Astyanax mexicanus: one gene and its partners. The main gene of each other region encodes a partner of the protein of the gene in region 3 in a complex. Links are inferred from orthologs where the notes say so. Each region holds a gene or a part of one and is shown on either strand. Other genes may lie near its edges.

What was found.
Region 1: gtf2a1 (region 3) and gtf2e2 share a complex: the UniProt entries of both Homo sapiens proteins name them as parts of the TBP-based Pol II pre-initiation complex. The link is inferred for Astyanax mexicanus from reciprocal best matches to the Homo sapiens genes GTF2A1 and GTF2E2.
Region 2: gtf2a1 (region 3) and polr2k share a complex: the UniProt entries of both Homo sapiens proteins name them as parts of the TBP-based Pol II pre-initiation complex. The link is inferred for Astyanax mexicanus from reciprocal best matches to the Homo sapiens genes GTF2A1 and POLR2K.
Region 4: gtf2a1 (region 3) and ercc2 share a complex: the UniProt entries of both Homo sapiens proteins name them as parts of the TBP-based Pol II pre-initiation complex. The link is inferred for Astyanax mexicanus from reciprocal best matches to the Homo sapiens genes GTF2A1 and ERCC2.

The regions. Positions count from the first base shown.
Region 1 is NC_064432.1:19,869,520-19,877,478, reverse strand, and holds the start of gtf2e2 (transcription initiation factor IIE subunit beta), read right to left. Parts: upstream 3,007-7,959; 5' UTR 2,982-3,006; intron 1-2,981. Other genes in the region: prom1b (prominin 1 b), read left to right, coding at 5,783-6,065. UniProt on the Homo sapiens protein: Recruits TFIIH to the initiation complex and stimulates the RNA polymerase II C-terminal domain kinase and DNA-dependent ATPase activities of TFIIH. Both TFIIH and TFIIE are required for promoter clearance by RNA polymerase.
Region 2 is NC_064410.1:32,892,216-32,899,668, reverse strand, and holds polr2k (DNA-directed RNA polymerases I, II, and III subunit RPABC4), read right to left. Parts: upstream 3,008-7,453; 5' UTR 2,905-3,007; intron 2,591-2,904; coding exon 2,530-2,590; intron 955-2,529; coding exon 862-954; intron 267-861; coding exon 244-266; 3' UTR 177-243; downstream 1-176. Other genes in the region: uncharacterized protein parp10, read left to right, coding at 4,191-4,362, 6,387-6,623. UniProt on the Homo sapiens protein: DNA-dependent RNA polymerase catalyzes the transcription of DNA into RNA using the four ribonucleoside triphosphates as substrates.
Region 3 is NC_064408.1:88,794,007-88,801,071, forward strand, and holds the start of gtf2a1 (transcription initiation factor IIA subunit 1), read right to left. Parts: upstream 3,008-7,065; 5' UTR 2,788-3,007; coding exon 2,758-2,787; intron 1,543-2,757; coding exon 1,441-1,542; intron 264-1,440; coding exon 110-263; intron 1-109. UniProt on the Homo sapiens protein: TFIIA is a component of the transcription machinery of RNA polymerase II and plays an important role in transcriptional activation. TFIIA in a complex with TBP mediates transcriptional activity.
Region 4 is NC_064425.1:16,927,522-16,934,884, reverse strand, and holds the start of ercc2 (general transcription and DNA repair factor IIH helicase subunit XPD), read right to left. Parts: upstream 3,010-7,363; 5' UTR 2,843-3,009; coding exon 2,838-2,842; intron 2,671-2,837; coding exon 2,571-2,670; intron 2,058-2,570; coding exon 1,980-2,057; intron 1,871-1,979; coding exon 1,808-1,870; intron 1,698-1,807; coding exon 1,584-1,697; intron 918-1,583; coding exon 801-917; intron 686-800; coding exon 569-685; intron 1-568. Other genes in the region: zgc:154093 (cdc42 effector protein 3), read right to left, coding at 6,301-7,272. UniProt on the Homo sapiens protein: ATP-dependent 5'-3' DNA helicase. Component of the general transcription and DNA repair factor IIH (TFIIH) core complex, not absolutely essential for minimal transcription in vitro.

The DNA of each region.
Region 1 (7,959 bases), on a different chromosome or scaffold from region 3:
GCATTTGTGATAACTGGCAGTGAATCTTTATTTAAAACTGACTAGGCCACTCCAAAACGTTTTGACTTGCTGGTGTGTCTCAGATCATTGTCTTGCTGCAGAACCCAAGTACGCTTAAGCTTTAGGTCACAAACAGATTTTGTGGTAGAGAGAAGTATTATATATGTAACTCTGTGTGCTAAGCTCAATCTAGATTCCACACGTCTAAAGACAGGGATTTTATTCATTTTTTACACATTATAATTTATTAAAAACTAAGAGATTCACTAAGTAACTTAAATACTGTTGATTTGTCTTAGAAATGTTATACAAAATAATGAGATTAGAAGTTTGACTTATTTTGCAGCCATATATATATATATTGCAGATGTAATGCTGTTTTATATTAGAGTTAAGAGTAGGGCTGTGTATTAGGAAGAACTTAGCGATATGAAACCTATCATGATAGAGGGGTTATGATGTACTGTGATACTGTATGAAGGGTGATGTAATGTGATTGTTTAAATTAAGTTTAAGAAAAACATATTTCTAAAATCTGAGTAGAAGAAAAGTTAACTTTTCATCCAAATAGAACAACTAGAATGCTTTCTATTGGATGGGTTTAAACACATCACTATGAACAAAAGTATGACACCAATCTTTACATGTACAATAATAATTAAAAAATTATTAGTTTATTAATATTTTGTCTATACATTTTGCCTAAAATACACAGCATTTTAAATAGTGACAAATATGTTTAATTAGTGTAGCATAATTTTTAAATATCGATTTAATAAAGATTGATTTATTGGGGGGGGGGGGGGGGGGTGGATACTCCTAATTCTAGAATGATGTCTGTGTGTGCACTGATTGTTGCTATGCAGCATGTTGCCATGGTTTCGGTCCAGAAAGGCAGTTTTGGTCCACATGGAGTTAAAGATGTAAGCAGATCTCCTCTACCGAACATTTCGTACAATACATGCTCATGGGCCTGTCATATCATCATATATTATTACTTGCACTCTGTGACAGTATTATTGAACAATACATAGCATACATACCTCAAGAGACATATTTTCATACACATACAGTAATAAGCTGGGTGTACACTCGTAAATTTATACAGCAGAAGATAAGCAGATCTTCATTAGGTAGAAGATGAAACACTATTTCCTAATTTCTCTTTTCACCAAAAAAACATACTGGGTTATCGCAAAAATGATTACAGATGAGATATGATTAGACACTGGGTCTTTGTACAAAAGTGGCAACCTTTGGGTAGTGTACCTCTTGGTAAGAGATTGTTGACTGCTTTACATGCCTCTGTGATGCATTTGAGACAACTATAGTTTCTGAATCAGTTTCTCTGAAGTTCAGAAATCTTAAAAATATTTTGTAAAATCACTTTTTTTCACAGTTTTTATGCATCTTGGCAAGTTCTCCTCCACCAGTCTTACACACTGCTTTTGGATAGAAAAAAAATAAAGCAGTTCAGCTCAGTTTGATGGCTTGTGATCATCCGTCTTCCTCTTGATTATATTCCAGATGTTTTCCTTATTTTTTCATGTCTAGCAGTCATTAATCTTGTAACAAGAGGTACACTACTACACTGCTTGTCTTTCAGCGTTAATTCTAACCATCAGTATTTAGCATTTTGGGTTTATTAAAAAAGTTGATTATTAACAGCTTAATGTACCAAGATTAAGCTGGGAACTATGCGGAATAAAAAAATGTGTATATATGTTTTTGAATGTGTGTGTGTGAGAGAGACAAAGCAATGCACTTATATTTTACCTGCAGCACAGATCAAATCAGTCCTGATTCCTGAAGCGTGGGACTTATCTAATCCCAGCTTACATATAAAGGGAGAGATTGTGTGTGTAGCTGAGCTGTTATCATGCCTGCTAAACTCCAGGGATTTTTGACTCTGATCCGATCTGTGCGTTTTTCTGAAAGAGGTCTCTTACACACAGACTGAGCAAGTTATTATATGTATTACCAATACATTAGAAACACCCGTACATCTACTTTTTAAGCAGTTATTCAATCGTGAGGCAGCATGGTGCTGCTACAGAAAGGTGATGGTACAGTACTGATTTCTCTTAGTCTCCAAACTTATGAAAGAATTTAAGTACTAGTTATAAAAGGTTTCGGGAAACATTCAGAATTTTAAGGACTTTCTTTTTTAAATATGAGGTTATGTAGTACTTTCAAAGCATTACAAGCGTTTTGGACAGCCTATCTCTGTCAAATTAAAGTGTGCCAGCAGAAGACCCACATCGGGTTCCATTTCTGTCTGCCAAGAACAGAAAGCTGAGGCTGCAGTGGACCCAGACTCATTGATCACAGATGGATCTTACCCACCATGTGCCCCCGCCCCCCCCCCCCCCCCACATTTAACATAAAATATTAGTCCATACAGTGCTGTTTCTATTGCTTCATAAAATAATAAATTTTACATGATTGAAAGGAGAATACACCTACCTCTAAAACTCACCGCATGCAAGTAAACCTGGAGAAGGAATCGTCAGGCCCACTGCCATTTCACAATATCCAGCTTTTGCTGAAACCTATTTTTTTTTTTCAATATGCGCCCTCAAAATGAACCCTAGGCCAAGTTAAATGCATGTTCAATTAAACAGTGAAACATTAGGAGTAAGAATTGCCTTATTTACTTTGAGTAACAGTGGCGTATTCATCAAAAAATAAGTAAAATGCATGAACTCCCATGAACTCATTGTTGGTGATAAATTGTCTGAACTGTCTCTAAAATAGTAATTGAATTAAGTCACTTTTGTAGGTAAAATTAGGTGTTTAAAAATGTGTCACCCCTGATGGGACCAGCCTGTTTAATTTGAAGGGATCTTGAGAGGTTGGCCATGTTAAAATTAAAGATTACTTTGTCTTTAAAGCATAAAACAAGCATAAATAATACATACAAAAAGTGGTACATGTGCCCTTTAACTTTTATTACACCTAAGAAAGGATTTTACACCTACCTTGTTTGGTCCAATCCAAAATAGTAGGTAGTGTGATGGACTGGTACCTTGTCCAGGGTGTGTATTCCTGCCTCGTGCCAAATGATTCCGGGTAGATTCTGAACCCACTGCGACCCTGATCTGAAAGAAGCAGAAAGAAGCAGATGTGTGGATGGTTAGATAGCTATTCATGAACTACACACAAAGAGTTTATTAGGTTAAATCTAACATTCTGCACTTTATCCATATGTATGTTCATATCATACTGTGTCAAAAGTTAAATGGTGAAACTGAGATGCATGCATCTCTTTTGTAAAAACAGCAACGTCCAATGCTGCACCTTCAGCCCTGAAACATAAAGACGTACAAGCACAAGCCTAAGCTTGTGATCTCCATCCCTCAGACGACACCAGACAGACACCCTGCAAAAACTAATTTCAAGGAGGTAGCATTAAGGCCTTGACCCCCCACCTTCTCCTTTAAACCCAGGAGGTCCAATTAATGAACAGTACCAAAAGTTTAAACACACCTTCTCATTCAATGTTTTTTTTTATTTTTATCCAGACTATGAAGGAACACATAAGAAATCATGCAGTAACTTAAAAGTGTTAAACAAACAAAAATTCTCTCAAGTGTTTTTATCTGGGGTGCTGTAAACCTGCATTTTCTGAGGCTGGTAACTCTGATGATCTTATCCTGTGCTACAGAGGTAACTCTTGCTCTTCCTTTCCTGGGGCAGTCCTGATGAGAACCAGTTTCAACGTTTTGAATGGTCTTTGGTCAAAGTTCTTGAAATGTTTCAGATTTACTGACCTTTATTCCTTAAAGTATTTTTTTATTTTTACCTAGTCAAGTAGTTTTTGCCATAACATGGATTAGAACATTACTCAAATAGGTATATTCACTGTATACCAACTCTACCTCTTCACAACTTTACAACTGATGCACTCAAAAAAAATCAAGTAATGAACTCTTGACGAGTTCAGCACAGCTGTTCCTGAATCCTGAATACCAGGTGACTCTACCTGAGAAAATCCAGACAAGATGTGCAAAGCTGTCTCTATTTTAGCAAAAGATATATAAAATATGACCACATGGGCAAGGGATTACTTTAGCCAATCTTCAAGCACTACAATACAGAGTTACATTCATAAACACCACTTAAAACTTCGTAACCATGGTAACCATGTCCAGAAGAGGCATTAACTTCTCTGTGCTCGGAGGCATCTAGGATGGGTAAATGTGTATTTTGTTTGCAATCAGTATTTCTTTTATTTCCTATGATTTGTAATCTCATTTAAAATGTCCATATTTACAAGAAAGGTCAAATTTCTTGAGGATTAAACCGTTCCTACAGTCATGGAAGGCAGACTGATCCGGCCCGGCTGGCTCAGCTCTGTGCTGAGAGGGCGATCTGAATGGTGTTTAAGTCAGGGGATTGTTACAGATGCAGTCTTATTATACTGAGAGAAACATGAGCCCAGCCAGGCGGGACTGGGGGGACGGGGGCGAAGGGGCTCAGTCTGTGCATTAGATCACAGCTCTTTGTGTTTAGAGGAGGGAAAGGGCAGCCCATACCCTCACTTGGACAGAACAGGTATGCGAGTGAATAAGCTGTTCATTCAGGTTCTGTTTATAAAGTACAAATACTTTATATACAGTAAAAAGTCCCAGTCTAGAATATCTTTTGTGTTTATATACATCTCTGAAAAAAAATAATCGACCACTTATTAAAGATGTTTTTTCTTGATTTTACAAAATTGAAATCCTCTGGAATATAATCAAGAGGAAGATGGATGATCACAAGCCATCAAACCAAACTGAACTGCTTGAATTTTTGCACCAGGAGTGGCATAAAGTTATTCAAGAGCAGTGTGTAAGACTGGTGGAGAAGAACATGCCAAGATGCATGAAAACTGTGATTAAAAACCAGAATTATTCTACCAAAAATTGATTTCTGAACTCTAAACTCTTTCAGAAATTGATCTTGTTTTCTTTGCATTATTTGGTGTCTGAAAGTTAATTTAACTGTTTTTTTTAATTAGCTGATTACTTGATTAGTCAACGGTTATTTCTGCCATCCCCTTTATTGCTTTCTAATGAAACAAACAAAAAAAATGAATGTGGGATTTTTAAATGGGCAAAATATGCTTAAATGTGAAAATATGCTAAATTTGGGCACTTTTGGAGACAGTACTTTGTGTAGTACAATAACATGGCTGGCTTAATATGTCATGCTTTTTTTGACAAATATTTAGTAATAATAGGAAGCTACAATAAAATTATTCGTAAAAAATTGTGAATTGCAGGCATTGTTTTTTTGCAAAAATAACTTCCTGTATAAAGACAAAGTTTATATTTATACTTGTTAGGTACTACTAATCCCACATAGGTAGGAGAAAGTCCAGGTCTGATGAGGTTAATACTACTATGCTATTTAAAAATAAAGTGGTATAGTGTATTTACGCATGCGTGATGACACACACACACACACACACACACACACACTCGACGGGCTACAGTCCCGCGCACGCGCTCCAGCAGGAGCGGCGGTGTATCCTGGGCGCGCGAGCAGCAGAAGGAGGAGAGATAGTGTGGAAGATAACGGAGGATGAGTCCTGCGGAACCGGCGCGCGCCTGAATTCATACTGGAGCTTTTATTCCTCCTGTTTTTTATGTGGAATTCGGGGAAAGAACGCGAGGATCTGATCTAAGCTGTGCTGAGGTTTTGCTCCGGTTCGGATTCCTAATTCATTTATCAATTCGCTTTAATTGAATCCGGTTTATTTTAGGGGGGTCTTCCTCTGTAAGAGCCGCTCGCGATGCTGTGGAAAACGCGGCTCGCGCTGCTGCTGTTTTACTGCGGGGGCTCGTGCAGTTGGGCGCGCGAGGATCGGCAGCAGCAGCAGAAGAATTCCGCCTCCACCGGAGCCCCTGCGCGCGCGGACACGCACCGGGCGCACGCGGCTGAGGTGCTGGACTTCGGCTACGTCCCGTCCGTGGTGTACGAGACGCACGCGTACTACGAGCCCGGACCCATCGGTCTGCTGTTCCACATGGTGCACGCTCTGCTGTACGCCGTGCAGCCCAACCCCTTCCCCAAAGGTGAGCGAGCGTTCGATCCGAATTCTAGTTGATAGCATTCAATTGATTCAAAATAAAGATAACAGTGTGAACGCAATCACGCTGCATTCTGATTTTGCATTCTGCTGGTAGAGTGGGGAGTGCAGATGTGGAAGGGGGCGTGGTGCAGCTGTGCACAGCAAAATCAACTAACTCAAATAACTTACTGTATCAGAGTTAATTTAAACTCTTTAAAATTGTTTATCTAGCTTACAGTTTTTGGTTAGTAGAACATTTTCTAAACGTTACTGATAAAATACCTATCTGATCAATAGCCCACCAGAATAGAGTATATTTTTTTCTGGTAGCCCAGCTGGTCTTGAACTGGATTTTTTTGCAGGGAGTTAATGTTCTTAGACAGTTTAATCTGTAAAGTTTTCTGGATGTTCTTTGAATGTTGTTATTTGACATTTTTAAATTCCGTAACAGTAATGCTGTTTCCAATTCTGGTAATTACACTTCATTGTCACTTGTGTCAATGTTTGAATTTTTTATTTTAAGTATGTTGATAATTTTAGTGGTTAGTGGTTGGTGTGGTTCAGTGGATAACACCACTGCATGCAAGTGAGCTTCCATGTGGGAGACTGGGGTTCAATTCCAGGCCTTGGTGACTATGCTGTGCTACACCACTAAGAGTTCCTGAAAGAAAGAGTCGTCCAGTAAATCATAATAATGAAATACTTAGTCATAATAATGAGATTATAAGTCATAATAATAAGAAACTATAATTATGAGAAACTATGTCATAATGTATAATTATGAAATGCATAGTCATTATAATGAGATACTTGGTCATTATTGTGAATTGCTGTCTCATAATAATGACCAGTACCAGTAGGTATCTCATTATTATGACATTATTATGACTGAGTATCTCGTTATGATGACTCAGTTCCTCATAATTATAAGTTAGTATCTCAAAGTTATGACTTCTCATAATAATGAGTTAGTTCCTCCTAATTATGACCTAGTATCTTGTTGTTATGGCTTAGTTATTCATAATTATAAATATCTCAAAATTATGATTTAGTATCTCATAATAATTACTTAGTTCCTCATAATTATGATTAAGTATCTTAAAGTTATGACTTATCTAATAACGATGAGTTTGTTCTTCGTAATTATGACTTAGTATCTCATTACTATGACATAGTTCCTCATAATTATAAGTTAGTATCTCAAAATGATGAGTTAGTATCTCGTAATTATAACTTATATGTGTTCAGAGCAGTGGGCAGCAATCCATCACGGCAGCTCAAGGGCCAAAAAGTATAGTGTACCAATACCCCCCTGGTATCAAACCCACAACCTTGGTAACAGTGACCAAGTGCCCATGTGGGGTCTGTATGAGCTGCGCATGGCAAAGGGGTGGGTAGCTCATGAATTTTGTCCACAGGGTCCATGTTGGCCCACATGTGGATGTTAGTGACCCATCAGGGTTCGTGAGGGGACCAGTAGGGGTTAAACATGGACGCTATGTGGGTTGTAAATTGCACATGGATCACAGGGGCAGTGATGATTGAGTGGTTAGGACTCTCAAGACTACTGTGTGTGTGTTTTGTTGTTTGGTTGTGTAGAACTTTTACAATAGCACCTGTAACACTTTGATTTATCTTTTCATACAATAAAAGGGAAAAGTTAAAGGACAGGAGAGTGAATAACAATGTATATATTTTTATTTTTTTTAAATCACAGATGGAGTTGTTTTCTCTGGGTTTCAGGTCAGGTGGTTAAGCAGGTGTTTTTTTGTGGAGCAGTTGTTTATATGGAGCTACAGAATGGAGCTTGTGTGTGTAAATGTGTGTGTTTAGGGGAGAATAGGATTGCAGTGGTAAGTCCCTGCTGCCTAATCAATTAGCCGATCTGCCCGATTAGG
Region 2 (7,453 bases), on a different chromosome or scaffold from region 3:
GCAGTACCAAGAAAAAGAAATCTTCAGTCAAAAAGGAGTAAGGAATAACTTAAAACCACCAACAAAGAACCACACAAAGACTTTTTTTTATAAACAAAGCTGTATTTCTATTTCTAACAATCAAACTATATGCACGTATTTACATGTTCCATTTAAAATGGTGAGGAAAATTTGAGTTTCCAAAAAAAAAAAAAAAAAAAAAAAAAACCTATTCACAGTCTGTTCAGAAGGACAGTTTCCAGCTCATCGTGCATCGAACACAACCACTGAAAGCTGGAGTTAAGGAAATAAGACTTCACACCAGTAGAGGACGTCCCTGCATGCACATAAACATATAAATTATAATAATAATAGTAATAGTAATAATAATAATAATAATCTAAATGGAAGTGCCTTATATATTCCCGGAAAAAAAAAAAAAAAAAAGTGCTCATGGGAACAAAACACTCCTTTTCTTTGATCTAAACTCTAAATGTCCCTGCCCCTCCCCCCTCACCTAAACATAGAAGGCACTTCACAAACAGCACACTGTTGCCCCTAGCAACACTTTCATTTAATACATTCAATTGCAATACTGGATGCAACACGCAACTGTGTGATCCACATAGTGTCCTAAATGACCTATATACTCTGTGTCTAAAACTCTTAGGCAGAGACACAAAATAGTCAAAACCCAGAAAGAGTTTTAGGAGTGCTTTTGCACTATAACGTAACTCCTACAGTCACAGACACAGACAAAGGAGCCTAAAGTAGTGCAGCCTAAGGGATCACTACATCCAGAAACCACCCTGGCCTGACTAATAGCGATGTTATTCATCAGTGCACAAGCACAAGAACTTAGGGATTTCCCAGAAAGGATACATCTCTTTGTCCTCTTCTTGTACATGATTCTGTAGCCACACTCTCGGCATCTGATGGGGTCTCTGGCTTTAATCTCATTCTCTGTGTGACATTCTGTAAAACAAACAAAATATGATTGTATAAGTTTACTCGAAATTGCTCATGCAAGGACATTTTTTGGAGCCAATACAAAGAGTGACATTACCTTGTTGCAGACAATATCAAAGCAGTAATAAATAAATATGTAAAAAAAACTAATTTACCATTTAATATATTAAATCAAAATAGTGTGGGCAGAAGGTGCCTATTTATCTTCGATTAAGGTAAAGGAGTTGAGTGTCATTTAAAAGTATGTCATTTAATAATTGTGTTTTTTTTCCATTACAGCATTAGCAAATAATGCATCAGCAACCAATATAGGCGCAAAAAAGTACTGGAGTAGAGTATGTTTTTCACATATAGACCAACCACTGTCAAATTACTGTTTACTGTATTGTTAAACTGTGATTATGTTTTTTCATAATACAAAAGTATTTGCAGATTTAAGCAGATGTTTATATAAAAATGCACAGCTACACTTAATGCTCTAAAATAAATCAACTCCCAACATCTGGGTTAATAATTTTAGAAAAATGCATTACTTTGACATTTATTCATTTACGTCTCTGTGGAGTAGTTGAAGATTATATGGCTAATAACATTGTTAGAATGCAGAATTTTACTGAGCATTATATTTTAATTCCAGTATCAGTAAATCTTGATGATGGAGAGAAAAGCAGACACTCAAATGTACATATAAATGTAAATTTATTACTATGTGCAGTTTTTGAATATAGCATAGCTTTAGAATCTGTATTGCAGGTACTATGTGTGCCAAACTGTGCGTTGCTTATTTGTGCTTAAAACTCTTGAAGGGCAGAAACACTGTAGGGTTTAAGCCCAGGCAGAGCTTAAATAATCCTTTTGCACCAAAGCGTAACTCCTAAAGTCACTGAGACAGACAAAGGAGCCTAAATGTAGTGCGCAAGTGGTCACTGTATCTGAGGAAGCGACCGCCGCATATAGATGAATGTAACTTGTATTCATATGGCATGCAAAACTGCAATGGAGAGAAAGAAAAAGGTGCGACAGTTCTATTTAATGTTTAGTTGGGAGTAAGGGTGTGCCATATTGAATCGTATGTGATATCACTAACATTTTTGAATATCGTGAACAATATTATAACCTAACATATCAAACCATATCACATCAGGGTAGTACTTTTTTTTGCTGTTTTTAGCAAAAAGAAAAATTCACACTTCTCATTTCCCATTATATATCTACTTGAAAACGATTTTATCTGTCCAGTATCTTTTCTTTAAATTTTGGATATATGAAGATATTTGGCATGCATTATAAGTATCATGATATTCTGGATCAATGACTTTTGTTACAAATCTGGTATTATTTATGCTAGTAAGGGTCCTAAAATTACAACGCAGAAAACCCATGTAGAGCCCGTATGAGAAGTCTAACTAGGGAAATAGGCTGGGAATGTTGGCTGGAAATACGCTAACAAAAGGGACACTACTACGGAATTTATAGTAACATAAAATATAATCATAATCATATTGTCCATCCCTATATCTCATATTCCCCGACAGAAACAAGAGACACGTGTTAGCTAGCTAGTTAACTTAGTTAAGTTACCTCCGCAGATATAGATCATGGGCTGCTGTTTGGGGGGCTGCATATCTTTCTGTGGATCCATCTGCAAAAAGAAAACACAATTAATCAATGATTAATCCATCAAAGTTTAATTTTTTTTAAAACGAGATTATGAGATCCACGCGGGCACAATACCACACAAACCACGGAGACGACTAACCTATAGCTACCTAGCGTTAGCATGCTAGCAGTAACTTCAGCGTGAGACACTAAATAAACAATGCAGTGAGATCAATGAACTATACAAAAATGTTTGTAAGTATCGTACATTAATTATACTGCAGCTCTATTATTTTGTATCAATCATTTTATAAATCTATATATAATTAAAAGAGAGAGAGTTGATTGCTAACTTACCTCTAACGTGCGTTAGCTCTACGCTACTGAACAGACTACGCATGCGCACCTCTCCTCCGCTAACTACCTAAAAAACGGCTGTGTGATTGGTGGTCAGTTTCCAACGCTGTGATTGGTCGATTAAGTCACCTGTTGTTTTAGAAGGACTTTTATTTATTTATTTGTTTTATATATAAAACTAAATGTTTCGAAAAATAAATTAATTAAATTAAACTGAATTGCATAATATTTCTTATATATTAATACAAGTGGAATACATATGCTGATAAGTAGGCTAAGCTAGATATTTTATATTATTTTATGCCATATAGTTTTTTTACAGGGGATTTTCATGGCAATATGAATGTTCTAAATCATACTAAGCACATAATATAACACATATATTAACACCTAAATATGTTTTATTTTATCATAGTTTCGAACACATACACTTTTATATTACAAACATATTGGTACTAAAACAGCCTTTTATACAATTGTTTTTATATTTGTCTGTGTTTTTTATTAAAAGAAAAATACTTTAGCTGATGTTCAGGCTGGATTGAAATAAAAAAAAGAATTAAATGAATTAAATAAACATTAAGTAATAAACCAGTAAAAGAAAGACAGAAACAGGAAGTATTATTCTGCGTCATGATCTGAACCCAAGCAGAAAGACTGCAGGTGAGTCCAGGGATGTAAATATGGGATATTATTGATTGAAACGAATATTTTGACATTATGAACACAGATTTTATGCATTTAAACTGTTATTTGAGGTAAAACTGACCGCGCTTCGTGTTTGTGTAGAATAAGACTGCGCGTTTAAGAGTTGTGTGATTATGGGCCGCTCGTGGTTTCAGTTTCTCTTCATTAGAACTGAATAATAAATGTGAACAGGGTGAGAAAAGGGCGAGGCGAGGCGAGCGTTTATTCAGATCATCTGATTATGTCTTTATTCTGAATCCCAGCACGAACAGATTTAAAAAATGGCGATTTAATGCACAAACACTCGGTCGAGTTCTGCGGTGTTTTCGTTTCTTCCTAACGACCAGATAGATACTTATCTTTAACAGCGGCTCATCAGTTCAGTGTTTTTACAGGATAATATTCTCATATACTCATGAGCACTTGGTTAAGGACAGTTCTGTGCACGTAGTTAATAAGAGCTTGGTGTTTGGTGATTTGGAGGAGGAGGACTGTGATGATGGACTTTGGATAGTCAGTAGAAGAAGCTCTGAAGCCTGTGCTTAAGGAAGCGCAGCAGCACTTCGCTGTAGTGAATGCAGTCTTTCCTGCTGATCAGGATGGCTGATGGTAACCCGGAGGACAGAATCTTGGAGGTTCTGGGAATCCCAGACGATGTGGACGACGAATTCCTATCGCTGTACTTTGAAAACAAGCGGTCAGGAGGAGGAACCGTGATTTCACTGGACAGAAATGGAGACCGAGCCCTGCTGGAGTTTGAAAAAGCTGAGGGTAAGAAAACCTAATGCCTGAAAAATATTAATAACATTTACTTTCACTGCATACTAAACCATTAATCAAGCAAAAACAAAAAGGAAACATTCATAAAGGTAGAAAAGTGGCATTAATTTAATCAATAAGGTAACAGTATTAGTTAAGGTAGATGTTATAAAGGTTAAAAGCTAACATTATTAATTGTAATAAGTTGTCATTAGCAGATATGTCAAGTAAGGAAGTACAAATAATTTTTTACCTTACATTTGGTTATACTTTACTGGTAATTATTATTCAGACAACCTTTTACTTCTACTTCTTACATTTTTATGCAATGATCTATACTTTTTAATCCTTACATTTTAAAAATACCCTCATTACTCCTATTTCATTACAGCTTGTTTTTATTCTACCTTTTAATAAGTCAGAGAAAATTCGGATAGAGTAAATCTAATTGTGGTTGGATGAAAAGTATAAACATATACCATTCTCACACCCTATTGGTTTATTTACAATCTATCACACCTGCACACATCACACTACACTCATGCAAGAAAAATAGCATGCAAATGTAGCCTAGTATCAAGATCTTCTTTAATATATATGCATTGTACTAGAATGCATTTATTTTCAATGGGCACATATTCAGCTGAAACATTTTTTATGACATTCTAGTTATTATGGGTGGGTGGGGCATAAGTTTTTGTCCTTAATGGCATTTCCCCCCTTACATTACTTTATTTTTTTACTTTAAGTAGTTTTTAAAGCATTACTTTTATTTGAGTGAAAAGCTTGAACTGAATTGAACTTCTACTGGAGCATTTTAAACCCTAGTTTCTATACTTTAACCCAAATAATGAATGTAAATACTTTTGACACCTTTGGTCATTAGTAAAGGTTATTATACTGAAGGTAAAAGGTATTATGAGTACAGATAATGAGCTGTCATTGAAGGATGTAACTAATTAATATTAATTTAGACAATACACTCTCATTAATAAAGGCAATATGCTGCCATTAATAAAAGAAAAAGTGTAGATTTAATAATGGGAATAGCATAGCATTAATGAAAAAAGAAGTGTTAATTTAGCTGATTATCTGTCATTGATGAAGGTAAATGGTAGCATTATAAAGGGAATAAGGTTACTCGGATTAAGTTCTGTTTTTATATTGAACGCTTCAAAGTTAGGAACTAGCGTTTTCATTTAACTCTATTTTTATATATTATTTTACTATATTTTTAATTACTACAGGTTTAATGATGCACATTTTCAAATGTATTGTGTGATGAGTTTAGTTTCTGAGATCAAGATTCAGTATGACACATAACGTGTTTATTATTTTGATTCTACATGGCTCTGATTATACACAGATACAAGCTATTTCCCCCAAAACAAAATATTACAAAGTTGTGCCCACCCTCAAAACTAACAACTAAACAACATCTAAAGCTAGAAACATTAGTAAATAGATACAATAAAGGGTTAAACACACAAAATGATATTTCTTATTTTTTGACTTTTTAAATCTTTCTAATATATAGTCACATCTTATAAGATATAGAATATTACAAAGTAGCAAAAATTGGTGTTATTTTGCTAAATAAAAAAGCAATAGTAATATGGGAATTGTGGGTCGTTATCCGTATCTAATGATTGGTGTGTATATCTCTGCAAGGCAATACATAAACATTAAAACTGGGAGAAGACCTGAATCAGATTTACAGAGATATATAACAAATAGAGGTTACAATAGCAGTACCATTAAGTTATTAGTGAAGAGTGTTTAAGTCTAATGTCATCCAAATATTTTGCTCTTCAAGTTAGATTAAGTTTAGATATTTCAGATATTATACATATTTAAACACCAGTTTGAACTGTTATTTGTTGGAAATTATATTATTCTGATCAAAAACAAGACAGTTATTATTAGGTTGCTGCTATTATTAGGTTGCTACATCTAACCTTCTACTATGTAACCTAAGTGAAAGCATACATCGTGATAGTTACAGCAGTAAATTGTGTTTTTTTTTTTTCGGCTAGTTGCTGCCAGAGTCTTGTCCAAAGCCTCTCATTCAATAAGCAATAGCCAACTGACCGTGCGGAAGAAACCTTCAAAGGATCATGGGAAGTTTGTGCTTCGGGGGCTTTCTCCCAACACAGTCCTTGACATGGTGGAGTTGTTTGTGGAGAATCTAACTGGAACCGACGAGTTCTCTCTGTACCCCTCACCTGGACGGGACCTGGTCCTGATTCACCTCCGAAACCCCCTGACTGAGGGTGAGTAGCTAATATTGTAACTCCCAGGTTGTTGCTGTTACTGCTTTTAATTTGGAATAAATGATAAAGATAATTTAACTAGTAGACAGTAAGAGTGAGTGTGGTGTGTGTGGTAAGTGTGGTGCTCGGATAACATTTAATAAGTTTAATAATTTAATATTAGTTTATTAATTATCTTCAGACTAAGATGCTCTTGGGTAACCCAGTGTAGATCATTCTGTTTCAGTTTACAATACAATATTGCTATATATTGAATTGTAACCCCACTGTATTGTAATATGTATTGTGTCACCAAGTTCTTGCCAATACACAGTTTACTGCACTTGTATTGTTTAAACAGCACATGTAGTGTGAGTGCGATTCGTGCATGAGCACGGAACAGGATGACGTCAGTAATTCAGTGTTTAGCTCCCCCGCCAAAAAAAGCACCCCATCTCGGGTGACTAGGATAACCATGATTTTGGCGCATATTTCTAAGTAAGTTAAAGCGGATTATCTCTGCATTTATCAAGAAGAGGCACTCCTGAGAGAGGGTGCTTTTCATGGTGGGGATGTGGAATACAGCACAATATTGTCAAGCCCACTAAGCAGTGATTAATGTTGTAAGCGTGCTCTGGCACGGATTGTTTAAACGCAGTGTGAGTGCAGGCTGGCGGGAGAGCGGGGAGGGGGCAGAACCTCGTGCTCTAGCATTATTCAACCAAACCGTACCTAATGTGACTACACCCTTACTAGATATCCAGCTTAATAAATCTGTGTTGCTTCTGGTCTTTTAGGTTGTTTTGTAAACTTAATGAAAGCAGTCTGAGATACTTGTTCTGGGAGCAGGA
Region 3 (7,065 bases):
AAAATAAATAAAGCGTTTTTGTAGAGAAGCTTCAAACTAATAAAAAAAAAAAAAGAAAAAAAAAAAGGTCATTCAACTGTAAAGGTGTACAAGTACATGTTGTTCTGACCTTGCTGGGCCGGTGGCAGGAGAACTTGTTGTGGCTGACTGGGCTGCTGGGTCTGCTGAACCTGTTGGACCTGCTGTTGCACCTGCAGAGCACCCTGCTCTTCAGTGTGGAAGCCGTCCACAGCCTTCGACTGCATCAGCTTACTCTCCCACAGCTGCAACACAACAGCGGATCAATAGCGCAGGTCACATTTAATCACATAACTGTTATTGATCAGGCCACAGTTGAGGGTTACACCAATGACTCAAGGAGGCATCAGTCAGCACTATTTAGATATTTGATTGAGAAAGCTGAATCAGCACTGGTGATCAAGGAAGCATTTCTCAGGTCTAGTAACCACAGCACAAAAAGCCATTAAAGGGCACGACTGGAGACAACCGGACCCTTATTCATTTTACAAATTTATATATTTTTTTATTTATTACTTAGTTATTGATAAATGATTTATACTTTTTTTACTTTAAACAAGTCACAGTCATTACGTCATAAGTTAAATATACAATCCGTACAACAACGAACAAGCTTAAGGGTATGATTTTTTTTAATCGCACACTTCACTGTATACTGGTTTGATTAGTCCAGACTAATGCGTAGGAGTATATGGATGCCTGATATCAAAATCTATATCAGTATATATATATATCTATAAATACAAAACGATAAAATATATTTGACTACCCACTGTAAATAATAGTTTAAAACAAACATCCTTCATTTTGACTTTATTGGTTGCCTTCAGAGTGGCGCTGGCTTGACTGAACCCTATAGAATACTAATTTAACTAGATTATTATTTTATGTAATATCACTTTAACCGCAATCAACATTCTTCTTTCCACCATTCAGTGATGGCTGTCTATTTATAGGAAAACAAATAGAGTTTCACTATTCTCTCAGCACATCCTGAAACAATCATTAAAATAGCAAAACAATTTGGGGGGTTTTCAATGTGTGTACAATATAGGTTTGTATGTGTACACTGGGGCTGCAACTAATGATTATTTTGGTAGTCGACTAATCTGATTGTTTTTTCGATTAGTCGAGTAGTCAGCTATTATTCCTGATGATGTTTAAGAATGGAAAGTGCTGATATTTAGTGTTTAAATATGTAATTTGTTGTGTTTTGGCACCTTTGGAGACACTTTGTGTATGTGGTACAGTTACAAATGAACAATTAGTCGACAATGAAATATGTAGTCTGCAAAGTTAAAATGAATTTATATTGACCAATAGTTGCAGCCCTAGTGTACACAAAAAAATAAAATAAGTGACAATTTGAACAGCTTCTTAAAATGTTTTGTGGCCTTTTCAGATAAAGGTAAGCTCATTTACCGTTTTGAGCTCCATAAGGACCTGCTCATCCACACCCTCATCCAGGAATAGCTCTCGGACCTCATTGATCACATCTTCCATCACACTTCTGTAGAGTTTAGGCTGGAGAGGGAGCATCATTAAAGGCAGATGAATACATACTAAACTACCATAGAGTTTCTTCTTTTTTTTGTACAATCGGTTTGCACAGTATTCAATTAAGTGCAATATAATCATAATAATAATAAATAATAATAATCAACGCATGGCCCATAATGATTTAAAATAAGCCTAAACAGATGAATAGCAGGTGTCAGGAACAGGCAGAGGGTTATGGAGAGAGCGAGAGCTATAGCCCCACAGTGTCCAGTCCCTGATGTCCTAGTCTGGTCTCCCTCCCTTCCTCCGTCCGTCGTGCTATTTAAAGCTCCGGCGGTGACGTGGCGCGGAGTTGCGCCTTCCCATCCCGGTCTGGGTGGATATTAGAGCGGCCGCGGGGCCGTATATAACCCGGGCTGCTCGGGAGGGAGGGTCAGAGGAGCGCAGGAGCGAGGCTAGTGCTAACTAACTGCAGCGCGGAGTGGCTCCCTCTCTCTGAGCTTACTGGAATTTACCCCGTTCCACCTTAAATCCTGCAGCGGATACAGTCTGGCGCCTGAACAGCACCGGAATGTTAGCGCTGCGGGATTTAAGGTGGAACGGTAGAATTCCAATAAAAAGCTAACTTTAATCATATCGCCTGACTTGGTTGGAGAGAGTTAGCTGGAGATGAATGAGAGTAGAGTGTACAGGAGGTGCAGCTTTTTAAAAAATGATACAAAGCCAGAATTAAACCTAAAATATGAGTATTGGGGCTTTGTAAGTTATATATACACAGCTCGGAGTAACAGCAGCACACGGACAATGACAGTTAGTTATCGTTAAATACAAAGAGAGAGTATCCCAGTAAACCTGTAGATAAACTAAGACAACGCACGTTATTATAGCACTGTTAATGCAGCACTATCTGTAATATATAATATATAACAGTAATCTTATAGTAGTTAGTAACTAATATATACATATATATCACACTCCAGCAGTAGTAGTTGTAGTGCGGGGCTGCTTTGTGAGCCCCGCCTGCAGAGAGACAGGACTTAACATGGCCGATTTCGTGTGCCTAACACTTTTTATTAGAGGGAAGGCCGAGCATGGGCTGGGTTTCCACACCCGCTCGCGCAGGTCACACTGCCCCGCTCTCACGCGCTGCTGCTGCTTTCTGTTCACCGCTTTTGGGCACTCCACGCCCTCGTGCCTGCTCACTGCCCTCGCCTCGTTCTCTCTGATTCGGGTTCTTACCACCGGGTTAGAGTTAGCCGAGCTCGCCATTACCGCGGGCGGAGCGCCAGACACGCCGCGCTGCTGCAGCTCTGATTAAACTACACCCGAGCGGTCGCGCGCCCCGCAGCTGCCCGCATAAGGTGTGTAGGTGAAGCCGCGCGCTGTCCGGTGGGCTGCGTGAGCTCGGTATATAAGCTATATCAGCGCGCGGGTCCCGGGCTCCGTCCCCCGCCGTCTCGCCGCCGCCGTCGTGCTGCTTTATACACACAGCCAGGCTGCTGCGCATGCGTCAAATAGCTAGCTCGCCTGCGTCACGGTATCGCGAGACCGCCAGGCACGAGACAGGACCCGGATCACAGAGAAAGAGGCGGGGGAGGCGCTTAAAAAGAATTAGTACATTTATAAAACTACGTTATTTTCTATTTTTTTATTACCAAAATATGCATAGAGGGGTAATATATATATATATATATATATATATATATATATATATTTACACATAATTTTTAACTGGAGATAAAGCCAGTAGATAAATCAAATTATTATATATATATAACAAAATTGGTGCTGGTGATGATTAATTTGATTATAATTATTATATTATATTATATTACATTTACATAATAACAAAATTACCAAACATAGTTAAATATCGTATAATACAGCAAAATTAAAATAGAATTCTACAGCAGAACAATAGTTTTAAGCTCCCTGGTAAATGATGTACTGTAAGCAATACATAAAAAAAAAACCTTACACCTTACCACAAGTTCTCTATTAGATTTAAAGTGCATTATATAGGACCGCAGGACTGGATAACAGTGATAATCCATTTAACACTCTTTTAATACATTTAATCTAACCAATATTAATAATAACTGCATTCCACCACACGAGGGCAGCAGACTGTGTATGTGTGTGTGTGTTTGTGTGTGTGTGATCAGTGGAAAAATGACCCCATCTGCAAAGTTATGCTGTTTTTAAAGTTTTATTCAAATGTTGAAATGACATAAATTGATATACGTTTGCTTTCAAAGTCAAAATAAGTAAATCTTCAAACAGCAAATTTAAATGCCATTTTATTCACATTTTAAACACTATATTTATTTATTTGTTGAATTAAGCATAATGGAAAGATGGAATATGTATGAAATATGAATATATTTAATATGCTATTATGTAATGATTTGTATTGTTTTTGCACTGTGTTAATTTAAACAAGAAAATCGTATTTAATAATAATATTAATGCATGTCTTATTAGTCCCACATTGTAGTTAATTAGCCTCTGCCTTTAACCCATTTGTGCAGTGAACACACATATACACACTAGTGAAAACACACAGTGATATTGTTGAACATATATCCGGAGCTATCAGGGAACAGTGAGGGTTAAGAGCCTTGCTCAAGGGCCCAACAGTGGCAGCCTGCCAAACCCAGGAGTCGATGGCCCACTGGCCCAGTACTTTAACCGTTGAGCCACCACTGCCAATTTAAGCTATAGAAGGAGCAGAAGTTACTCTCAAATATATCATAGTTGCTGATGGATTAACGTTGTATTAAAACATTTGAAAATAGACCCTCTTCATTATTCTATTCACTTTGTGCAATATACAAGAGCTGTGTTTTTGGGTCGAATGCTTTACTCCTCTAAACATACCTGAACATACCAAACAAATACAATTTTCTGAAAAAATCATCTGAAAAAAATTCTCTAGAACAGAAACTGTAAATAATACAACATGACATAAACTGTCAATCATGAACAAATTTAAAGAGAGAATAGTAAAGAGAATAGTTATATAGATTTACAGGGACACAAATGATTATGAGTTGGCAAGGATGCAATGATATGAAAGCAGGAGGTAGGGCATTACAGTCAGGTGACCCAATATATTCAATGTGAGCGTATTGTGATGTCATACAGTTTAAAAAAATAAAATCCCTCCTGTGGTTCCATAGCAACAGAGTGCTGCTGCTTGTGCAAAGGCTCAGAGAGGGGTCTGGTCATTAGGGCTGTGTGTGTTTAATTATGAATGACCCTCAGCTGTCACACTTCACTACACTCACCCTAAAGTCTGAGACCTCTGTTCACTCAAGTCTTTAAGAACTGCAGCCATATTCAGAAACAACTGTATATACTCAGCCTTTACAGAGATTAATAATACGGTAGATTTAATTCGCTACTGTACATAAATACTAAAATGTTGTATCTTCTGGGGTATTATTTATTATTTTATCATTTTTATAAATGTTAGAAATTATTCCAAACCCACATTATCACTAAAGCCAGAGCGGTAGATGATCTGCACTGTCACCGGGTTAGATTAAGCTACTCATCATTGAGCAAATCAATCGATCATGTTGATGAGGTCTTATAAGAAGACCTCACTGCTCCTGTTCTGCCTTTCATTCTGAGAACTTTCCACTGCTTTCTGTAATAACTACACAACACAATACTGTACTTTTACACTCAGTACTTTAGTTTAACATTTTACTATAAACTACTTGCAATACTTATACACAAAAACTGTTGAATATTTTAGTACTTCCCCTTAAGGGTGGAGCTTAAAAAATACTTCAAATTTAACTTCTCCTCAAATAACTTTTTTGATAGAGCACTTGTACTTTTACTCAGGTCTAGGTCTCTACTTCTTTATACATGTCAAAACAGCAGACTGAGGCTCGACAAAAGGCAGCCAATCAGAACAGGGCGTTAATTTAGCAGGTGAAATACACAGAATAATACCATACTAATTTGTTTTCGTACTAACAGGAAGCAAAGAGAGTTGCTATTTCAATCTACACAACCTAAACATCCACTATGGATATTTGAGTATACTAAACGTTGATACTTTTATCTATGCTACATACTTCATACTCAAATCTATTTAGAAGTACCCAATTGGAACATATCCTTTGTGAGCTAATGCAGAGTTTCAACACTGTTCCTTTAAAACTCTGCAGTGAAGTCATTTTCCTGTGGTGTGTGTGTAGAGTACACACACTCTGAGCTGATAATTGTTGTTTGTGAGCTGCTTGTGTGTAATAACTGTTTTTAGTGTGGGTGAATACTCTGTGATGCCATGTTTCTTAAAACTGCTTTAGTTTTAGCATTAACTGCTCCTCTATCTTGTGCTTATGCTGCAGTTCAGTGGCAGACTGAACCTAGGCAATTAAAGCACAATATTTCCTCTGTTTTTGTTTTATAAGCCATAATTTGAGAATGGAAGATGTGGTGGGATGTTTGGTTTAATGTAGATTTACATGTTCTTTTCGGATACACCATCACTGCATGTAGCATGTGATTAAATAAGATCAGCACGTTCTTGTTTATTGACCCCGTGTTGTGTAACAACAATGGATTTTGGGCATTTAAAGTAAAGCAGATTTAGAAAACTGGCATCAACTCAGATTACTTTAAATAACCAATTACTAACAATTAGCTACTTTTTTGTCCTTTGCTCATAAATGTTATAGGCTTGTCATGAACTTGTAAAATGTTTTACAGTATAGTATTGCATATTTACAGTACAAATTTCCATCAAGTGTAAAGCAATAATTTTAATACCATTGAAAGAAATTTTGCACAAAAAAATCCCTTTAAAACGGATCCTTTATTATTGCAACTGGAAGACAATACATTACATAAACATTGTATGTAATTCTCAAGTGAAACAAATGATTGTAAAGACATGACATTGTTTTTTTCATTACCTAAGAGAGTGTGAAGTTATTTACAGGTAGTCATGAACGTGTTCTTTGGCAGTCATGATTGCACATTGAGAAAATTGGCAGATTTACTTTGCATGGGATTGCTATCTGAGTATTGGACACAAATACCATGTAAAGACAAGTGTCAACAACACAAGACACATATCACTATTCTATTAGTGGTGGTTTAAAAACTTGCAGAGAGTTGAAACAAAAAACGAAACTTAAAAACCTTTCCTGAACCTCATGCACACTTCTGCTTGAGTCATGTTGGCATTAGTTACAAACTCGACTCAAGAGCTGAATTTGTGTGTGTCTTATTAAGTGTCGTATTAACAGCAGGCTATGCTCATATACACAGTGTGTTACATATTGTGGTGTGGATTAAATCTCAAAGATCAAAACTCAGCAGCATGTTAACCTTTAGAAGACAAGAAGAGTGCTGTTATATTACAATGCAATTAGTGAGTTATTTAATGATTTGTTTTAACATTCGGAATGCTTTTACAGGGAGCAGCCTACAATTCTGATTTTTTTCTGTTTTGATGCCACAAATGGTACAAATAGTGGATGGATTCACAGTTTACAATCTGCACTTTCTACACAGAAAACC
Region 4 (7,363 bases), on a different chromosome or scaffold from region 3:
AAAACATATTTATTATCAGTTAGGTAAAATGATCATGAAAAGATTACACAAGGTTTGTTTACATTTAATAAAAGATAATTTAAATGATCATTTAAATAACACGCAAACATTTTGTTAACCCAAGATCAATCTTTAAATTGACTTTATTCCTCTGCTGTATGTGTGTAAACCTTTAACCCTCATTAGTAGCCAGATTTGCACAGCTTCACTGCTGTGGCATTAGAGGCAGTCTGCCAATGGCAATTTGAATAAAAACTTGTTCTTTTAAAAAAAATCTCTTTTCATATTAAATTACAAAACTCACTGTAGCTACAATATCCCTAAATTAATTAATATATAATCACATTTACTCTTCCTCAATCAATCTATTTACACTTGTGTTTACATCTGTCAATATTTCTCTTTAAATTACAAGTGTCAGAAACATTAAAACTAATACGTTAAAAACATTTAAACAAAGTTGTTTATTCAGTCCACTACCACACTCCTCATATTACTCCTCTCTACCTCTCGTTACATCTGATACAAAGCTTCACAACAAACAAGATTTTTCTTTAAAGATACTTACAGAGTAGCGTGCTAGGTAGTATGGGCACCAGCCTTTTTTGCGCCCAAAGTCTTTAAGGTCATCTAGATTATAAATTCCAGAAGGAATTGGCACCTGTCTGCCCACGGCATCAAACTCCTGCACATAGTGGAGTATTTAAAAAAATATAAAACATTGTGGGGGGAAAAAGATTTCTAAGCAAAGGAAAAAAACTTAACTTAAAGCAAGCTGAAGACTCAGTGTTTAAGTTTACCTCATAAAAGCGGCAGACAGGTTGACTTGGATTACTGTGATGCTGGGCTCGAATATACGATGCTGTCAGACTGTGACATTTTCCATCTACCTCCTTTCCGAAGCGCAAAGAGCTCACCTGTAAACAGAGGCAAGGATCAAGCTGGATTATATAAAGAGCATAATCAATGATTAAAGCAGCATTCTGTGACTGTGTTATTTTACTCATGGGCTCCCCAAACAGGTGAAGAGTGTAATTCACTACAGTAAAGACAAATCACACTTTGAGCTCATTCCCCCTTGTGGTACACACAACATTTTACAAGCTGAGAAATGCTGAGAACAGGCATGTGAAAAGGTAAAGTAATATAACAGGATTTTACACAAATATGACTTAAGATAAGCAGTAGTAAGATTTTTCACAAGCCTTATTCTGCCTGCTTCACAAAGTTAAATTGTGCAGTTTCTGCAGTGATTAGATACATCAGATTAAGATATTCAACAGAAACAAAAAGAAAATCTGTGAACTTTTTTGTTCAGAAATTATTCATAAACAGTAATTTACCAAGACTCTCAATCTTAATTATGCTACTTTGGAAAACGCATTAAAATAGTTTTTCAATTAATCCAATTAATCAGATTAACCTACTAGTCCTAAATATAACCTGTTACTTTAAGGTAGAAATGCTATGTAACTCTGAAAATCTATCCCATTGTACGACTAAAAAGGCTTTACACAGCCCAAAGCGCATTAATGTAATGACACTTTCTAATCCGTCATATATGGCAGCAAAGAGACACTTACTTCAGGATGAATGCACAGATTCTTTCTTGAAGAAAGCGCCAGTGCAAGGAAGTTGTTTTTCTCTCCTGTTTCTTTGGTATAGAATTCCATCAGTTTCCTCAGTTCCTCAACCACCTTAAAGAAAAAACGCCTTCTAAATGCAGATAATGCACATGCACAATACACTCAGTGCACACGGTCACTCATTAATGTACAACTGCATTGCATAAGGTGCCGTTCATTACCTTCTCAATCTCAGGCACGGTTCGGGAGCAGTAGATCAGCTTGGTCACCTCGAGAGGGTAGGCCTGCAGGTAGAGTTTAAAAGACCTTTCTTTACTTGCTTGTTAAGCCAAACAAGCTCACATTCTTAATTTTTGGATAAACAATTAATTAAAAAGTAGCACAGAGCCTCACTTTCTGATATGCTACAATAAGAGACAGAAGAGAGATGGTTTTTCCCGTTCCTGAGGGCATCTCCAGAACTCCATGGCCCTAAGGACAGAAAGCAGAGCAGGTCCTTGCTATATAATGCAAAAATATACAGTGTTTACCTTAATAAGGCACATCTATTAAGGTAATAAGATAATAGATAATAGTATCTATTAAGGTGTGGCCACAAGGTCCTTTTGTTTCACAGCTAACAAAGCAAGCAGCTCTCAGGGGTTGTGCACAATATGACTGCTTAAGAAAGGTAAAACGGGTCTGCATACTGTGCGTCTGAGCCTGTCAGCTTTTACTATGAGAATTAAGTGTCTTTTCTTAGAATTATGCCATGTTTGATTAGTCTTGGAATGAGCTTTGATGTAATATTCCATCTTCTTCATTAGCATTAATTTACAGAAAAGCTTATTTTATAGGACGCCAAACATTTTCTGAATGTTACTTTTTTCTACACACAGGTAGTTGTGTGTTTCTGGTGTATATTAGTTTATAAGAGCTGGATAAATCGTGTTTATTTTGCATATTCAGTCTCTGGAGCAGGTGGCTTGACACAACTTTAGATACCTTGGCGTCCAGGGTCCTCTTGAGCTCCAGCATGTAGGAGTACTGTTCTGGATAAATGTAGTCATAAGGGAAATAGACTAACAGCCCTTCAATGTTCAACCTGCAGGAAACATCAAAATCAGGAATATATTAAATACATGACCTGGTTATTTCTGTGGTGGGATGAAGTAAAGGTATTTAAGGAAAAAGCACCGAGACACTTCTTTTGTAACCCGTTAGTTTAGCTAAGTTAGCTTAATAACGGTAGAATTAGTTAATGTAACTCACTTCATGTTTGCTGGTGGCAGAACGCCGTGACTCTGTTTCCTCTCTGAACGTGTATATCTCGCTCCAACAGTGGCGAAATAACATTAAAATAATATCCACATAATTACCAAACAACTCACTACCCTGTACACCAGCTAACAGCCCCCTGTCTGCACGCCGTCGCGTCTAAAACTCGTACGCTCTGTTTTGCAGCTAGGATTGGTTGAACTGCTGTCAACGCTTATTAAACAACCATCTGATTGGACAATTCACCTGTCAATCAAAACACCACCGCGGCAAACCCCGCCTTCCTTTCCGCTCGGTCAGACCGATCTGAACATCATAATAAAGGTTCAAAACCAAAACAAATTAAAAGTCAGTAAAAAAAAGAACATCAAAATATAATGTTCTGTCAAATAAATCCACTTAAATCTGACTTAAATTTGACTTTAAATAGCAGGGTCTATTTTTTCTAATAATGAAAAATACGATTTTCTTGTAAATAAGAATTTCTGCTGCTTAGGTTACTCTAACTTTATGCTTTAATGTATTAATCTTTTTTCGTTTTTTTTTTGTTTTTCTGTTTCTATAAGTACATTTTTGTGCCATAAATATACACCCCTAAAATGAATAAAATAAAAGAAAAAAACTTTGTTTTTTGGACAAATAGCTCCTGATAGTAAAGAAAGAAAGTTAGTGTTAAAATTCTGACAATAAATCAACGTTCATTTAAAGGTTTTAAAAGGTTGGGGCTCTGAAATCCATACTAACATTAGTGGTTTTATGTTAAAATATACTTCCCACAAATACAAATATAAATATTATTGATTTCAGTGCATTAGCGATGGGAAAATTAACGCAAATTTCAATTCAATGTTATTACCTTAATCGATTATAAAATTTCCAAAAACAATTTTAGGGATTTATGGGAAGATAATAACGCAGTAGTTATAACTAATAGCGCTGCTTGTTGGTGGTAAAACGACACGTTTGTCAACAAGTTACAGCACAGAGAGACAAAAAAGACATTTTCCATTGAGTTTACTTCAGGTATACCATTTCTGGCACACCATATTTTAAAACGCACCAGACCTATAAAACGGACTAAATACGTAAAAGCGCACAAAGTGCGTAAAACGCACTAGATGCGTAAAAGCGCACAAAATGCGTAAAAACGCACCAGATGCGTAAAAGCGCACAAAAATGCGCGTCATGCATGAATGTACTGAAAAGCGCTAAGATACAATCATAACAGCAATAAAGAAAAACAAACACATGACTACCTCTTAGGTGTCGATTAATTACGTCTTATTGACCTAATCAATGAATTTGAACCCTGTCACCTAAAGCAGTTCTGGCAAACCCTGATTATGTTTGGCTAGTTTTAGATATATCACTTCTCTAAAACTGGTGTTAATTTCACATGAAAAGACTTTGAAAAGACTCTTCATTTTGTCACGTTTTTACTTTTTGACATAATTTGAATCAGGAAGTTGTTCTTTACATAAGATCAGTTTTAACAACGTGAACAAACATGGATTTTGTTTTTTACAAAGGTTCTAGTGATTTAATGTCTTTTTTTGTATTGTGAAATTTCTCCCTCTTGTACAGCATTGCTTAAAATACGTTTTTAGCATCTGTAATTATTTACCTGTACACTGATATGAAGCAAAATAGGGCTCTAGTCCTTTGGCTCAAACCCTGTTGGGTTTCCTACTTCTGCCACAAAAAGGATGTCCCGCTGTTTAAAGAAGTACAGACTGCTTTTTAGATGTGCCTGAAATTATGGCTGCTTTAAAAATGACCAGGTCCTGTATGGTGTATCAGTTGAAATTTCAACTGTTTTAGGATGGTGATTATTTATCCATTGACACCCAAATAACTGCTTATCTGATGTGCTGATTGGTACACTGGCTGCTTTAGCATGTGCCAGTTGGTGTGCCAGCAGCTTTGAGGTGTGTGTTTGTGTGCCAGCTACTTCAAGATGCGCTAAATGGTGCACAGGCTGGTTTTAAGATGTGCCCTGTGGTGCACCAGCTGAAGTTCTAGCTGCTTTCGGATGAGAGGTGGTGTGACAGCAGCTTTTCTGAGAAGAAAAAAATTAATTAGGCCATTGCTGCCCCTACACATTTACTATATAACAAATTATCAGGAACACAAACAAGATAATTTACTGTGGACAAACCTTCAGTCTACTTGTACAACCAGATGAAATGGCCTTAATTCAGCCAGAAGGTAATCTCTAAAATGGGTGATGACTAACATAGGAGTGATCTGCAATGAACTTGTCTGGTTGCTTCTTAATCCTTGTACTCAACATACAGCTCTTAGTCAGATGACTGGTTACACCTGATGATCTTGCCCTTGGACTGAATATGCAGACAAAGCACCAAACCATACCGATTACAAATGAGGTGAACACAATGTTGGTCTTGATGTTTCATTCATAAAGGAGAAACAACAAAGCGTTGGATTTATAACCTTTATTATAATATTATTTACATGATCGTGGTGATTCAACATCTCACAGTTTAACACATATCAATTATGAGCTTTACGGTGGTATAAAATTCCCTCTTGAGATGAATAAACTGTCTTTCTGAACTCAAACAGGAATCCTGTATGTAGTGACTGAGATTGTAGGCTAGTTTCAGCCATATATTGTTTTGAAAGTAACAAGCTGACTGAACTTCACTATGGATTTGTTCCATTTTTAAGACAGTAAACATCATATTCCCTTTAATATGCTGTTGAAATGTGGAGTGTAATGAAATATATTAGAAGCAAAACACAACATCTGTTTAATACTCAACTTGTTCAGTTCCCATGGGCTGTAACACAGGAACAGATGTAGTTTCCTTTGTTTGTTATCGATGAGTCATACGCTCTATAGTTCGCTAAAAAGAGAAGCCATCTGTTAATGAAGTAATTAGTTGGCGCTGACAAGAGATCACTTATTTACTATTCCAAAATACAAAAATGTATTATTTCCCAGTTATTCTGTCATCCAAAATCAGTCATTATGGTGTGTTGAGAACTTGCTCTTTCATGAGTTTGGCAAGTTCATGCTAGTACAACCTTAATAAAATGTCTAAAGCAGGAGTGTGCAGCTCAGAGTGTCTTGAGAGTCCTGAACAGGATGGTGGACTGAGGCCTGTCTGTACAACCAACACAAAGTTGTGAGGACCTTGTTCCCTGTGGTTTATATATTGAATGTAATAAAGTATAAAATGATCAAGAGTTTAAGACTCTTTAACATACTGCATCTCCAGTTTAAAGGGACTCTTACAACAGAACAGATGCAGTTATAATTCGATGACGTGTTATTATCAAATCATAATCTCTGTGCTTCTCTGAAACCATCTGTTCAAAGAAATTGTCCACTTCTATGCAGGAAAATCCTCTCTCGGAAACATCTTGAATGACAAACCTCATGGAGTTAAACACCCATACAGACACCCATAGTCTAAAGCATGCTTCCAGCTCACAGCTCGCACTGCTCCTCCACACTCTTGTAACGGTCCATGATCCTGAGGACATCCTCCAAGATGGAGGGTCCCAGGTCCAGGTCCAGACCGACAAGAGACTCAGAACGGGACACGCCAGCCGAGAGCACCGGCGACTCACTGCGGTCGCTCCGCAGGTCCTCGTTACTCAGGCCAGCATCAGAGTCCAGGCTCAGACCTCGGCTCGGGTCAAGCGGCCCACAGCCCTCGGACATGGAGTCATCTGAGGAGGCCTCAGAGAAAGAGCCGGTGGAGGGCATGAGGTGTCTGAGTATGGGGATGGATGCTGAGATAGTGAGGTCATTGCAGGGCTCTTTACAGCGGCCCATTGCTTCTTCACACACAGACATGGAGCGCTGCTGATTGTTGTGGTGGTTCTTCTGCTGCTCCTGCTGGTTCTGGTTGTGGTGGTTCCTTTGTAGCTCATGCTGGTTCTGATTGTGATGATTCTTCTGCTGCTCCTGCTGGTTCTGACTGAGGTGGTTCTTTTGCTGCTCTTGCTGTGGCTGCTGCTGCTGGTGGTGTTCATGGGAGCAGTTATCCTCTAAATGTAGACGAGGAGGTTTGGGAGGAGGCTGTTCTGGGGCGATGAAAATGGGCATAGAGATGGTGCTTTTGAGATGAGAGGTGTGGTGGGAATTCCGATGGGAGTCATAAGTGTGGCTTATGCCTTTGGGGGTTACATCAAAAATCCCATCCAAATGCCTGTCCATGCTGTTTGAGCGGACGTGGGGTGGTCTGGCTAGACCAGGCAACATGTCCAGCTTGCCTTGCAGGAAGTCAATGTCTCCAAACATGTCACCCTGCCCATCAGGGCCAACGTGGGCGCTGTGGCGTACGTCCCCCAAAGGAGGGCTGATCATGTCGCCAGAGAGAACATCCCTCAGTTTGAATCTTTTACCCCGCTTGGGTGTGGATGTCTTTAGGTACATGGGCGTCTTGGCTGGCATTCTGTTTCCCAGAATTCAGAAAGAAACACCAACTTCTGCTGTGGTGATGTAGCTGTTGGGTCTAGCAGCTACGAACAGTGGGTGTCAGGCA